Linked DNA regions of Xenopus tropicalis. The protein of the gene in region 1 binds, or shares a complex with, the protein of each later gene. Links are inferred from orthologs where the notes say so. Each region holds a gene or a part of one and is shown on either strand. Other genes may lie near its edges. The genes, in order: tert and nop10.

The links.
Region 2: tert (region 1) and nop10 share a complex: the UniProt entries of both Homo sapiens proteins name them as parts of the telomerase holoenzyme complex. The link is inferred for Xenopus tropicalis from reciprocal best matches to the Homo sapiens genes TERT and NOP10.

What each region holds. Positions count from the first base shown.
Region 1 is NC_030682.2:58,800,200-58,804,025, forward strand, and holds part of tert (telomerase reverse transcriptase), read right to left. Parts: intron 3,587-3,826; coding exon 3,401-3,586; intron 1,878-3,400; coding exon 1,751-1,877; intron 260-1,750; coding exon 198-259; intron 1-197. UniProt on the Homo sapiens protein: Telomerase is a ribonucleoprotein enzyme essential for the replication of chromosome termini in most eukaryotes. Active in progenitor and cancer cells. Inactive, or very low activity, in normal somatic cells.
Region 2 is NC_030677.2:142,941,974-142,945,899, forward strand, and holds the start of nop10 (H/ACA ribonucleoprotein complex subunit 3), read left to right. Parts: upstream 1-1,487; 5' UTR 1,488-1,529; coding exon 1,530-1,583; intron 1,584-3,926. UniProt on the Homo sapiens protein: Required for ribosome biogenesis and telomere maintenance. Part of the H/ACA small nucleolar ribonucleoprotein (H/ACA snoRNP) complex, which catalyzes pseudouridylation of rRNA.

The DNA.
Region 1 (3,826 bases):
CATTTTGGCACAACACAAATTGCAGCAATAACGGAAGATGAGTTATACCTAATTTTCCCATTAGATTAATTAGGCTTAATGTGGAGTCAATGGGAGATGGCCTTCCCTTACTAAGCATTCTACAGATCCCATACCCATATAATTTATATGACAGCATTTTATAAATTAACTTAATAGCAATAAATTAGCACACTAACCTGTAAGCTTGAAGTAAGAATATCTTATAAGTATTGATGAAAACTGTCCTTAAACTATTTACCTGTAGAAAATAGCAGAGACATATTAATATTCGCAATCACCAAATAACTATCATGGCAACATCATACAGAAGAACTTCAATTTTATGTTTTTTAGGGGACCAGGAAAAATGAGTGTAAAACCAGTGAAATGTGTTAAAGCATCAATCCTAAAAAATAAGTGGCTCAGTTATATGGTAAGGGGGAGGGGGAAAAAACTTATTAAAAAGACTTTCTAAAGCCCTTTTAACGGCTCACCATTAATGAATGTGAGCCCAGGTGTATAAACCCCAGGCTCTCCACCAAAACCTAATTGCAAATAACGTGATGATAGGCTCACCCAGTAAATTATGTGGTCCGGGTGTACGAACCCCAGACCCTTCCCCTCCAACACACAGCTTCAAAACACTCCTGGCAAAATTATAGGGAAAATGCACTCACCAAAAGCAAGTCGTGGTTCTGGTGCAGCACCCTAAACCCGTAGCCTGAGGTATAAATGAACATCAATTGAAGGAGAAATGGCACGCACTCCTAAGTCCACTAAAACTTGTCTTAATTATAGAGATCTTAAAACAAAGAAGTCCTGGCGTGTTTCGTATTCAAATAATATGTAGTCATCGGCACGTATGACTACGTATTTTTTGAATACGAAACGCTTCAGGACTTTTTTGTTTTAGTGGACTAAGGAGTGTGTGCCATTTCTCCTTTAATAAATGTGTTAAAGCAACTTCTTCAAGTACTCTAAAGCTGGCCATACACGGGCAGATCCGCTCGCTTGGCGATGTCGCCAAGCGAGCGGATCTTCACCCGATATCCCCACCTTCAGATGGGCGATATCGGGGAAGCATGTAGGCGAATTCGATCATTTGGCCCTGGGGCCAAACGGTCGAATTCTACACGCGGCAATGGGGCAGTCAGTTCGGGGACCACATCAACGAGCCGCATCTAACCTGGCCGATTGATATCTGGCCAATTTCACGCCAGATATTGGTCGGCCAGGCCCTTCTGTTCTGCCCCTACACGGGCCGATAAGCTGACGAATTGGTCCAAGGGACCGATATCGGAAGCTATAATCCGCCCGTGTATGGGGACCTTAAGGCTATAAGCACAGGAGTCAGTTTGACTTTAAATAACAATATTTACTGTGTTAATGACAAGGAGTAAGAAGTGCAACATTAATGTTACACAATGGGGGGGGGGGGGATTGATTATCATTAATAATTAGGGATGTATCAAATCTAGGATTCGGTTTGGGATTCGGCCAAGATACTGCCTTTTTCAGCATCCACAAAAATAGTGGAGTCGCTGCATCCCTAGTAATAATAACATTCACAGAGGACAAACAGCCATTTTTGTGAAAATATGACAAAATTGATATGTAAAAAAAGTACTCATTGAAATGCATTATATCGGTGAGACCACAAAAAAACAATGTAGAATGTAAGAAAAGGTAAAATCAGGGTGTGTAGTAAAGTTTCACTCTAGTTAAAAGTATTTGACATGCTCATTTTTACCTGTAAATCAAGAAAGAGACTGTGGCACTTCAATTTAAGGACTCTTAGAAGTTTTTGTTTCATGTTTTTTCCTGCTGCAGAACTGTGACAAAATGTCATACTTGATCGGATTGAGGTACAGGCATAACTAATGAGAGGAGAAATATTCATAAAAATAATGCAATTTCAATTCACAGACCATAACTGCCTTACAAATTCTAAAAATAAATTTTTGCATGATGCACTTCTCCATCAGGTTCAAATAATAACATAGTTAAATTAAATACACTGCTCAAAAAAATTAAAGGGAACACTTAAACAACAATGTAACTCCAAGTTAATGACACTTCTGTGAAATCAAACTGTCCATGCTGTTGTGCAAATGGAATAGACAACAGGTGGAAATTATAGGCAATTAGCAAGACATCCCCAATAAAGGAGTGGTTGTGCAGGTGGTGACCACAGACCACTTCTCAGTTCCTATGCTTTCTGGCTGATGTTTTGGTCACTTTTGAATGCTGGCGGTGCTTTCACTCTAGTCCTCAGACCCCTCGTGAGACCATATGCTGGGGCGGTTGGCCCTGGGTTCCTCCTATTGCAAGACAATGCTAGACCTCTTGTGGCTGGAGTGTGTCAGCAGTTCCTGCAAGACAAAGAAATTGATGCTATGGACTGGCCCGCCCGTTCCCCAGACCAGAATCCAATAGAGCACATCTGGGACATCATGTCTCGCTCCATCCACCAACACCACATTGTACCACAGACTGTCCAGGAGTTGGTGGATGCTTTAGTCCAGGTCTGGGAGGAGATCCCTCAGGTGACCATTCGCCACCTCATCAGGAGCATGTAGGGAGGTCATCCAAGCACATGGAGGCCACACACACTACTGAGCCTCATTTTGACTTGTTTTAAGGACATTACATCAAATTTGAATCAGCCTGTAGTGTTTTTTTCCGCTTTAATTTTGAGTGTGACTCCAAATCCAGACCTCCATGGGTTGATAAATTTGTTTTCCATTGATAATTTTTGTGTGATTTTGTCAGCACATTCAACTATGTAAAGAACGAAGTATTAATAAGAATATTTCATTCATTCAGATCTAGGATGTCTTATTTTTGTGTTCCCTTTATTTTTTTGAGCAGTGTATAAAACTTGGGAGCAGATATTTTGTGGAAAAACCTCCAACAACTGTACAAAGAATGAAAAAATTCTACATCCAATAGGCTTTTAAGACACAATACAGACTATGTGAATATAAGAAAAAGAAAAAACATATGCACATCAATGCACAAAAGTAAAAAACTAAAACAAAATGAGAGCCCAATTGTAAGGAAGTAACAAGAGTTGAAATTGTTACCCCAAACAAGACACTTTCCATTTACATAAGACTGATAAGTTATCATGCATGGACATTAAAATCTGTATCCTGGAGTATTTCTGGTGAAAAATCACTTGTCAGGAAACCAATGCTGACAATGCTGTCAGGAAACCAATGCTGTCGCTAGGGGAACAACATCACTTGTCTAGATATTAAGAAAAATTGATACTGCAGCCAAAATCTATATATAAACCCAGGAACCCATTAATTTAAACTTATTTTTTAAAATGCATTAAAAATAATAAAGCAATATCGAAAATAAAATCAAAAGTAAAATATTGTATAATCCAAACCTTGAATAATCATAGTAAACATCCAAAGTCTGAGTGTCCAGCAAAAGACCACACCACCGGAACAAGCAGTGAACAGGTAATTGTTCCACTTCAGAGCATGCTGGGATGTCATCAACAGGAAAGTTTACCACTGTTTTTTGAGGGCTGATGGAGCACCCATATTGGGGAATTCCTTCTGCCAGAGTCCTGTGGTTAAAAATACATACATTTAGTATATCAGTTATAGAGCCCCTCTGCATCCAATAGTAGTCATGTGAGCGCTTGTATCTGGTTTAAGTGCAAAAGATGTTTCCAACCTGAAAATTACGCCTTTTATATAGTTACATAGTGTTGAAAAAAGACCAGAGTCCATCAAGTTCAACCCTTCCAAGTAAACCCAGCACACACAAACCTATACTTACCAATCTATACACTCACATACATAAA
Region 2 (3,926 bases), on another chromosome or scaffold:
AATTGAAAAACAAACTGTAATCTTTTAGGTGAAGGGAAGAAAACCAAAAAAACTAAAATAATGTGGTTGCATAAGTGTGCACACCCTCTTCTAACTGGGGATGTAGCTGTGTTCAGAATTAAGCAATCACATTCAAAATCATGTTAAATAGTCAGCATACACCTGCCATCATTTAAAGTGCCTCCGATTAACCCCAAATAAAGTTCAGCTGCTCTACTTGGTCTTTCCTGACATTTTTTTAGTCGCATCCCACAGCAAAAGCCATGGTCCCCAGAGAGCTTCCAAAGCATCAGAGGGATCTCATTGTTAAAAGATATCAGTAAAGACAGTCATCATCAAGTGGAGAAAATTTGGCACAGCAGTGACATTACCAAGAACTGGACGTCCCTCCAAAATTGATGAAAAGACGAGAAGAAAACTGGTCAGGGAGGCTACCAAGAGGCACTTACTGGCACCCCAGAAACTTTTTTCATGCTTGTGTTGCTCCCCAACACTTTTTCCATTTGAATGTGGCTCACGGGTATAAGAGGTTGGGTATTCCCTTTCCCCAACTATACTTTCTAACTCCAACCTCTTACTGGAGTGGCTCTTCTCCCGATATGCCCACCTACGGGTGGCCGATATTGGGCCAAACCAATTAAAATGGCGGGTATAGAAGCTGTCAGTTCGGGGGCCACATCAACCAGCCAATGTGGTCTCTGATCAATGGAAAACCCAAACCTGCCCAATCGAGATCAGAAGACGGTCGGGGAGGCCCGACATTCGTGCCCATACACAGGCAGATGAGCTGCCAAATCCTGATATCATGAGCTAAAATCAGCCCGTGCATGGCCACCTTTAGACTCTTTCTAAAAGATACACCATGTAACTACTACTCTTTTTAGACCATTTTAACTCCATCCCCACCAACCTACTAGTAAACACCACCTCAAACCTCCCCTGCCTGCATGTTCTAACACTGTCAGATCCCGTCTCTATGCTAACTCCTTCTAAGCATCCCCTCCTTCCTGCTGCAATCCCTTTACACCCATTCCAACACGCTGGTAGGTCATAATCTTTTTTGATATTTTTATTCTTTGCAGAAGTGTCTCGCATCATAGGTACGTGTTCTAACCGCTAAACTCACAAGTGAGCTGATTGGTCAGCGCCCTCAAGCTGCCTCAGGAACGACTGAGAATGATACCCAGATTTACTGACTAGTTAGAACAAAGGCCAGACAACACAAATAAGGATTTGGGGCGCATGAATAACAAAACAAAACAAAAACAAGTAGGCTGTTACTGCCCGTAGTTACATAACAAACGGAGAATTTCGCTCTCGAAAATAAGGCGAAATATCAACACGAGAGCGGGATAGGGGGTGTGGAGAAGGAACTACTGAAGTGACGAACTTTACCGGAACAGGAAGTAGTTGTGCGGAAGTAGTATCGTCACCCTGTTGAGAAAAACGTGGGGCGCTTGGTGAGTGTGGAACCTGCGTGTGTTTCTGTTCGCTGTAGATTTGCGCGTGTCGCTGCCTGACGCTAGAGGATGTTTCTGCAGTTTTATCTAAACGAGCAGGGGGAGCGTGTATACACAATGAAGGTGAGCAATGGAACTATAAACCAGCATGTGATGGGCTGATATTTTCCTTTGACCTATACTATTCCTTAGTACCTGGAGGGTCGCACAAATGGGCAGTGCAACATGTTTTAATGCCTATAGAGAAAGTTAAGCGTTTAGTTCCAATTAAATTGAAAGAAAATTGTTTGCTTAAGTCCATCTGGTGGCCACGATTAAAGCATTTTATATAGGGATTATAGGAAAAGTATAGTGTAAAAATAAAACTGGGTAAATAGGTAGGCTGTGCGAAATAAAAAATATTTCTAATATAGTAAGGCAAAAATCTAATATATAAAGGCTGGAGTGAGTGGATGTCTTAAGACATAAATGTCAAACCCAAGGCCCGGGGGCCAAATCCGGCCCACCTGGCTGTTTTATGTGGCCCTTGGTGAGGGTGTCTGACCATCCAGCCTGATCAATTTCCATTTTCCTCACATAGTAACTAAGACTAAGGGGTATATTTATCATGCTGTGTGGAGTGAAGTATTAGGGCTCTAGCACACGAGGAGATTTGTCGCCTGCGTTTTTTCCCCCCTGGCGCTTTGGCGACAAGTCGCCACGACAATACACAAAGAGATTTCATGAGAGTTGAGCTCCAGGCGATCTGCTACCCATGGTACACTCAACAGTTACCCCTCTCATGTTTACTCAAGTCGCTCAGAAAAGGGTCTGTACGATTTGAAACAGCAGGCGATTTGAAGTAGCCTCGTATGTTTTGACGCTGGCGATTTCCATTTGTTTAGCATTGGCGTCTTGTCTTTCATCTTGTCGCCAAATCGCTCTTTTAAAAATCGCCGGTGACAAATCTCCTCGTGTGCCAGAGCCCTTAACAGTAATGTTGCCCAAGGCATCCAATCAGTAATCAGATTTCAACAGTAGCAAAGCATCTATTGGCTGCTATGAGCAACATCACTGGTAATGTCTTACTCCACTTTTTACACATTGTGATAAATATTCCCCTTAGTATCTTACTAAGTATATTAATAAAAAATTTGGCATGCGACTTAACCTGTTTTTTAGATTTCGGCCCCCTTATGTGATTGAGTTTGACACCCCTGTCTTAAGATAATAGCCAGAACACTACTTTCTGCTCTCTAAGCTGTTAGCCATCAATAACCAATCAGTGACTTGAGGGGTGACTTGTCCGATATGGGACATAACTGTTCAGTTAGTTTGTGAGCATGCAGGTCAGATTCATAAGCAAACTAACTGAACAGTTATGTCCCAGATCCAACCCCCCTCAAGTCACTGACTGGTAACAGCTTAAGGTCCCCATACACTATAAGACATCGCCAAGCGAGCAGATTTTCACCTGATATCCCCACCTACGGGTGGGCGATATCGGGTAGCAAGTAGCTTTAAAGAAAAATAATCGATCGTTTGGCCCTGGGGCCAAATGATCGGATTACATTTGCAGCCATGGGGCAGTCGGTTTGGGGACTGCATCAACGAGCCGATGCGGTCCCCGATCCGACTGGATTTTATAACTTGGCCGATCGATATCTGGCCAATTTCAGGCCAGATATCGGTCGGGCAGGCCGCTCGTTTCTGCCCCTACACGGGCCGATTAGCTGCCGAATCGGTCCAAGGGACCCATATCGGCAGCTTCTATCGGCTCGTGTATGGGGGCCTTTAGAGAGCTGTAAAGGAGGAAGTTATGTTAAACATCTGTTTACTCCAGCCTTTATAGATTACATTTTTGGCTAACTAACCATATTGAAAATGTTTTATTTTGCACAGCCTGTCTATTTAACCACTTTTATTTTTACACTGAACTGTTCCTTTAAAGGCTATGTCCAACTTTGTGTTAACATTTATTTAAGCCCCTATTGCCAAAAAAATATTTTGCCAATAGGAATTTAACAAATTGTTTCCTTTAAAATTTTCAATGAAGTCAGGGCTTATGTGATGTTGAGTCCTGCACTGTCTCACTGGAGGAGGGTTTGCCGGCCCCTACGTCCACTACTTTTTACAGAGGTTGGCAGCGCATAACAGGAAGAAGCAGGAGCAGCTCCAGTACTGTGCATGCCTTGTTTCCTCCTTGTATTGCATAAATTGTATTGCCAGCCAGTCTGATTCATATAGGGCTAATGAGTGAAGATATGCGCTGCGTTAAACCTTCACAAGGGGAATCTGAAACCAACACAGAACCTGATTGCAAGTGGTAACTTTGTTAAAAAGTGTAGCGGAAATTTTTTTTATGAAGAAATATTTATTGTCAGAATATTTATTTTGGTAACGGGCTTGTGTGAATCCCCAGTTATGAAGTTATGTTCAGTCTGTTTTCACATTGCAGCTTAGAATCCTGCATATAAGGTTATTGCA